Tribolium castaneum: one gene and its partner. The protein of the gene in region 2 interacts with the protein of the main gene of each other region in a pairwise test. Links are inferred from orthologs where the notes say so. Each region holds a gene or a part of one and is shown on either strand. Other genes may lie near its edges.

Region 1 (3,572 bases), on a different chromosome or scaffold from region 2:
TTCAAAAGTATTTTATTTCAAATAAATAAGGTGAAAGGGTTTGTGATTACGGTTCTCTCAATAAGCAGTCTTTTTTGATAACTCCATGTGTACCCTGTGATTTCAAATAACGTAGCGCTTAGCCACAGCTTAGCAGCTTACTGCACTCTGGCAGGAGCTTTCAGAACTGCTTAAAGGCAGTTCTGAAAAATTTTGCACGGATTGGAAGGTGTGAGATCTAACTGCCATTATTATTATTTACAGTAATTTACTTGTTCTAAGTAGTTATTTATAAGTAAATGTTTTTTTTGGTTTATAAACCAAAATGCCCAAAATCTATTTCAAAATCGTTCGCAACACAAATTGTATTCTTGGTTGCAAGTCGAGGATGAACATAGAGATTTGCATTTTCATATCTTCTGACGAACCACCAACGACTATGTGGGGGTAAAGAAAAAGTAAGCAGGAGAAAGCTCTTGGAAGTATTATTGATGAAGAAAGAAGTTTCTCCAAAAATAAGAGTTTGTTCGCTTCATTTCAGAAAAGATTACCTTCCCAAGAGTAAGTACCTTTACCATAACTGCATGGTAAGTCCAAAGAACTTGGTTAAGATGAGAGTACTCTTGACCACGTTTTTATTTAGTTTAACGAAATGATGTAAGAATTATTTCATGTATTAATTGTTGAATAAGATTCAGCAGCAATTGTAAAAAAGGCGAGACTTAAAAAAACTGCAGTTCCATCACTTAATCTCCCTAACGTGGAGACAAAATTATCAAGCAGAAACAGAAAACGCATGCGAAGTATTCCAGAAGGCATTTTAGATGAAGAAGACGTAACTGTTGCCCGTAACAGTTGAGGCATAATAGAAAATGCCAAATTTCACAAGGTAAAACTTGAAGCTTTTATTAACTTTTATATTTGAACACCAGCATTTATACACTTCTATACTTACAATAAATAAAAATTCGGAATGTATTTATATTGTTCATGTTGGCTCTTCATACATAATTCATAATTAAATCAATAAGAAATTTACACTTCAGATATACACCCAATCTTGCCGATATTTTCTAACTTAAACAACGGTCCTGCATTTAAACATATACACAAAAACAGGAATGGCATAAAATAAGATTCTACAATATGATATCGTTTTTGATAAAATTATTCAAGTGAGTTCAACATTAGCAACTGCTTGAGTACTTTGGTCTGGGACGTCTCCCTGATTTCGCCCGCCAGGAACATCTCGTCAACAACGGTATACACTTTGTAAAAATTAAAAACGAGGTCTAGCTCACAAACATTGTGAAAATATTCATTGAGTACTTCAACAAAGTTATGTATTGCTTCCAAGTAGCACAAGTTATTGTCGTTCACGTCGACGCATATGCAAAAGTAGAGGCCGGCGTATCGACGGTAGACAATCTTGAAGTTGCGGAACTACAAAAAGGCATCATTCAAGCCCCCATTTGGACAACTCACCTCAACAAAATTTGTGTGTTTCGCGTCGCGAACTGTGACCACGGCGTGCACCTCCTCTATCAGTTTCTGCTTCTCGTCGTCGTCGAAGTTCATGTACCATTTAGCTAGACGTGTTTTACCCGCCCGGTTTTGGATTAATATAAAACGAATCTGGGAGTCAAACAATTGGTTAGAATCGATTAAGCTTGTCGAGAACAATTCACAAACGTAGTACAACACCAGTAACTCACCATTTTTTAAATTTCTGATAATAATTCGGCAGGTTTTGTTATTTAATTGAACAAAACCTCCTCCCAACGAGTCAGATAACAATTTTTTGGGGCACTTCTAGGGATTTTAGGTGTCACTGTCAGTCTGACAGTGATAATTGAGGTTAGGAGTGTCCATAAATTAATTTGATTCTTCTTGAATGTATTTTTTTATGTAAACATTTAAGTCTTATCATGTCGCGAAATAGAAGTATGTTGGAAATATTAACTTTCATTCATGACATTGTTGAACTTTAGATTCAAGACATGGTAAATCGAAAATTACAGTTGGCGAAAAGGGGCGCCAAGTGCTGGAAAATATTGACGAGAATAACCGTGTAATTAAGATGTTTCTTGGATTTCGGAAAGAACTGGATGAGAAACACGACCGTTACGAAAAAATTGTAAAACTGAGTCGAGATATTACAATCGAAAACAAGCGTATCATTTTCTTGCTACATTCTACAAACACTGATATGTATGATTGTTGTTGTTTATAATCTGTTTTAATAGTCTAAACAATTGTAGAGAAGGGAAAAGAGAAGCTGTCTTGGATGAAGCTTGCAAAAGACTGAAAGTTATAACAGATGAGAATTTTAAAACTATAGCTTCAATTCTCAAAGATTTTGATTCTTATCAATATCAGAAGGCTTACACAAGTGGCCTACAGGAATTTATTGAAGCCTTGGTTTTTTATCAGTTCCTGCATTCCAATAAAATTGAAAGTTGGGAGTCTATCAATAAATTTTTCCAGTATGAGCAAGATGGTGAAAAATTCAGTCTTTTATTTCCACAGCTTGATTTCATATTAGGAATTGCGGATTTTACGGGAGAATTAATGAGACGTTGCATTAACAATTTGGGAGTAGGAAATGTGAGCGACTGTTTCAAAACTTGTAATTTTGTGAAAGATATCTACACAGGGTTTTTAGGTAAGTTCTAACTCAAAAATTAGGTAGAAAAATTATTTTTCTGGAATCGGCCGTAAAATAGGGGAAATACTCCACAGTATACTTGACTGTAATGTTGGTTGCCTATCTGTGTTGATTAAAAAAAAACCAAGAATAAAAGTGTATTTGTGTAAAAAAATATACAAAATGTTATTTTATTCTAGGCATTATAAATCCAGGAGCTAAAGAAATGGGTCGTAAAACATACGTTCTGAAACAAAGCCTGGCTAAAATGGAACTTGTGTGTTACAATATACAAATAAGAGGATCTGAAATTCCAAAACACATGTTGGTCAACGTTATTGAATCTAGTGACATGAACACTGAAGAAGATGAGGGTTTTTACTGAGTCTCTTAATTTACACAATAGTTTGTAAGCACAAATTTTAAGTTATTATTTTTTTAAGTTTGTCACAACTTTTGAAGCATAACTGGAAATAAAAAATTGATTATTTATCTTGTTTTAATAACCCTCACCTGAATATCACATTTCATAAACACCTGATCTTTATCAGGGAATTTAAAGGACGGCATGTCTGTATACAGAAAGCATTTCAGGCTGCTTCCTTTAAGTTTGTCACTTTTATACCATTTATCTATAAGTTTGCGTTTCCTAAAATAAAAAGTTGGTTGTATATGCATCGTGATTATAATAAAAAACGTAGCCAAGAGGGCCCCGCAAATTTTAAATTGATCAATTTTTAGTTGTCTTTTTTAAATAAACTAAAAAAAATGTTTTTTTTACATGAGACAACGTTCATGAAATTTGCAAAGCACTTTTCACCATGTTTTTATTTATACTCAGTGTAGTTATTACCTCCTGGAGTGTTCTTCCGTTAAATGTAATTTGTTCTTGGCCGTTTCGTAATTTTGGTCGTCAAAGGCCCAACAGTCATTCACCATAATGTCG
Region 2 (3,623 bases):
TTGTGCAATTTTTATGTAGTACGAAATAAAACTATTGTACAAATCGAACGTCTTTATTTTATTAAAAAAATACTCCAAGGCACATGAATAAAAAACTGTTACATAAACTACACACCTATAAACTAAATCTGTGACGCTTCCTGTCTCAATTCCTGTGAGAAAGCCGGCAAGCTTCGCAATTTCTTGGCGATGGCGAGTCCCAACTCCCCTGAATTCTTCGTGGGGCTCATAATGAGGCGTCTCCTGAGTTTCGGGTTTAAACTGGGGCGTTTCGGCAACGTCTCAACGGACTTTTCCTTGGCCGTTTTCCTTGCGGGGGTCCTGTCTTGATCCACTGGCGACCAAATGATGGGTTTTCTCCTGGGTCCTCTTTGAATAATTACCATTTCGTCGGCACTGGCGTTTTTATTGGGCGTTTCGTGATTGGCTTCATTAAAGTGGATTTCGGTTAAAGCCAGTCGGGCTGAACGGCGGGGCTCAACCCTTTCGTCTTCTTCGGCCATTTTGGGGGTTCAAAAATGACTATTTTAGTGATGTTCTTGGAAAAACGCCCGAGTCCCGAGTTAACCTCACAGGACCATCGTTTCCCGGGCGCGCTAATTTTCCCTCTATTTTTTGGACACGCGGACTCAACGGCTTCTCCCCACCACCCAAGTGGTGGCCTCTATCAGCTGATTCAACAGGTGGTGTTTGTTTGGGAAGACAGCTGATAGGGGAGCAGGAAAAAATAAAAAACCGTTTCATTTTACATTTCATCTGACAGTTATTATTGTTATAACCCCAAAAGTTACAGACATGTCAAATAGTCACAGCACACTCTGACGTAAATTTATTTATTAAATAACGATACAATACGTAATATTTTAATTTGTAATTATTTTATAATATTTTAATTAAATGCAATGGAATAATTTACACATCTGCAATCTCCTCTTCATCTCCCCCAATTGCGCGCCAAAACGCCGTGACCACCTGCTCGGCGCACTGTTTCCTCTGATTCATCGGCAAAGACTGCAAACTCTCCTTCATCATGCTTAATTGTGCGAATAAATCGCTAAAATCATCGCTTCCTTCACTTGTAAGAAACTCCTCACACAACTCGACCACACTGTCGTTTTTCTTCTGATTTTTCACGCTCAAGTCGTTTTTCTCTTGGTTTTTCATATTCAGATTGGACCAAGTGTGGGTCTGGAGGGCTTCAATAACCCTTTCAACACCAATTTTTTCCTCTATTATGTCCTGGTCGCAGGTTTGCGATCCTGGGTACAGTTCTATTAATTCAAAGCCGTGCTTTAAACACCATTCTGTAGCGGCAGCTTTGGTGATTTTCGTCTCGTTGGTACAGTAATTTGCGATTAGGAGTTTGATCTCGGGATCGCAGTCTTCTTGTAAACTGGACCACATTTCTAAGTCCTTTAAACCATTTTCCTTGTTTGTGTCTATGTGGATTACTAGAGCCTCGACGTTGTCATTAAATGCCTGACTTCTTTCGTGGTGTTCTGTTATCCCAATTACATCAACTTCGGCGGTATAATATTTGGTATCGATTGTCCAAGTGTGGACGATCTTGGTAGAGTCAAGGGGGTCCTCTTGGATGTCCGCACATTTCGTTATGAGCTTAATTAACGACTTTGGCTTAGTACTACTGCTACTAACGATAACCACACTCGGTTTTGCACTCATTTTGACAAAAAACTATTTTTAATCTTCTGTTTGACAAGTGTCAAAGTTTTAATTGAGGTTGTGTTTTTATAACCACAAAAACAATAACATTTTGACTAAATACAAAAAGGCTGGCCCTCGTGTTAGGCTAACGGTACACACAAAAAATACAATTTTTTGATTAACTCATATACTCATATTTAGTCAAGTTTCTTTAAAAAATTGCCGAAAACATACAAACTGAGGTTATTTTTTATAACCTTAAATACATTCGACACGTGTGTTTGACACCTAGCTCGTTTTACTAAAATTTTGGCTAAATGGAAGAAAACGACACCGAAAATCGAGTTAATTTCATCACTTGCGTCAAGTGGGTGAAGAAAGGAGTGGCAAAAAGCCAACCCGAAAAGGTAATCTACAAAATACAGTAACCTCGCTCATGACTCGGTTTTTTAGGTCCAATTGTCCAAAGCCGAGCTCGTACAAGTCATAAAAGCCACAAAAAAGAAACTTCGGTACGTATTCGAGTTTTTGTTACTTGTCACCAATCAGTTTTTTAAAACAGAGTCACAAATGAGGAAAATGCTCAAGGTGAATCATCGGCTCAAGATGAGTTCAATTTGGAAAATTATGACGAACAAGACGGTAACTGAACTTAGTGTTACGACACCGTTACGTTACGTGACTTTTTTTTATTAGAAGGCACCGCTGAGGCTTTGGGGATAAGTTCACTGGCTGATTTACAAAATAATGAGGAAGAAAACTTCTCTGAATCAGACGATTCGGACAAAGAAGACGAAGTTATCAAACCTAACGATAATTTAATTCTAGTTGGACATGTGGAAGGTGACGCAAGTTCGCTAGAAGTGTACAGTAAGTACTGTACTTGAATTAAAACCAACAAAAAAATAATTATTCCAAGTTTACAACGAGGAGGAAGAATCACTTTACGTCCACCACGATATCTTACTTCCCGCCTTTCCACTTTGTTTCGAATGGTTGGACTACGAACCCAACGCCCCAAAAGGCAGTTACTGTGCTATAGGTTCCATGACCCCCATTATCCAAGTCTGGGACTTGGACATAATTAACTGCATAGAACCCGCGTTTAATTTAGGCCGAGCCGCAAGTATTAAAAAAAACCGACCTCACGTCGGCCACAAAGACGCAGTTTTAACTTTGGCTTGGAACAAAACCTACGAACACGTCTTAGCTAGCGGTTCAGTTGACAAAACTATACTTTTGTGGGACTTGGAGAACAAAACTCCAAGTACGACCATTTCCGCGTTCAAAGACAAGGTCCAGTGCATGCAGTGGCACAAACTGGAAGCGCAAACTTTACTAGCTGGGTCTAGCGACAAGAAAGCAAAAATTTTCGATTGTCGCAACCCTGAGACACATCAGACGTGGAAAATAAATGGGGAGGTTGAAACTCTGGTCTGGAACCCGCTACAACCGTTTTCATTTTTCGCCGGTAGTGATACCGGAAATTTGCAATATTTTGATTGTAGAAAAGGTAGTGAGTTTTTAGTAAAATTCAGTCGATAAAATCGAGATTTAGGTCAAGTGTGGGCTGTTGAAGCCCATGAAAAGGAAGTCACTGGGTTGGTTGTGAGTCCGCAATGTCCCGGTTTATTAGTCACATCGTCGCCAGATGGGACGATAAAAATTTGGGACTACACCGAAAATGAAGCCACTTTCGTGTTCGAAAAAGATTTTAGTTTAGGGACAGTCCAGTGCCTGGATTTGTCGCCCGATTTGCCGTTTGTCATAGCGGCAGGAGGGGATAATAAATCTAATAATTTTCTAGTTCACGATTTGAGAAACATCGATGTTGGTACGTTGCCCATTTTTGGTAATTAGTAGTTGGTAAAAGTTGTTTTGTAGTAAAACACAAGTTTGGAGACCGGCAATTAGAAGAATTAGTCGCAGAAAGTACAGAAGAAAGCATGAACACTGAT

What was found.
Region 1: the proteins of alpha- and gamma-adaptin-binding protein p34 (region 2) and AP-2sigma interact in binary tests that used the Homo sapiens proteins (3 or more experiments, as listed by UniProt). The link is inferred for Tribolium castaneum from reciprocal best matches to the Homo sapiens genes AAGAB and AP2S1.

What each region holds. Positions count from the first base shown.
Region 1 is NC_087396.1:14,083,833-14,087,404, reverse strand, and holds AP-2sigma (AP-2 complex subunit sigma), read right to left. Parts: upstream 1,832-3,572; 5' UTR 1,698-1,831; coding exon 1,695-1,697; intron 1,615-1,694; coding exon 1,465-1,614; intron 1,423-1,464; coding exon 1,147-1,422; 3' UTR 954-1,146; downstream 1-953. Other genes in the region: Trax (translin-associated protein X), read left to right, coding at 1,908-1,923, 1,971-2,190, 2,241-2,644, 2,827-3,011; uncharacterized protein LOC103313709, read right to left, coding at 3,049-3,093, 3,140-3,275, 3,480-3,572. UniProt on the Homo sapiens protein: Component of the adaptor protein complex 2 (AP-2). Adaptor protein complexes function in protein transport via transport vesicles in different membrane traffic pathways.
Region 2 is NC_087402.1:2,419,771-2,423,393, forward strand, and holds alpha- and gamma-adaptin-binding protein p34, read right to left. Parts: upstream 1,684-3,623; coding exon 913-1,683; 3' UTR 818-912; downstream 1-817. Other genes in the region: nclb (periodic tryptophan protein 1 homolog), read left to right, coding at 1,983-2,072, 2,119-2,177, 2,228-2,307, 2,362-2,535, 2,585-3,178, 3,224-3,499, 3,550-3,623. UniProt on the Homo sapiens protein: May be involved in endocytic recycling of growth factor receptors such as EGFR.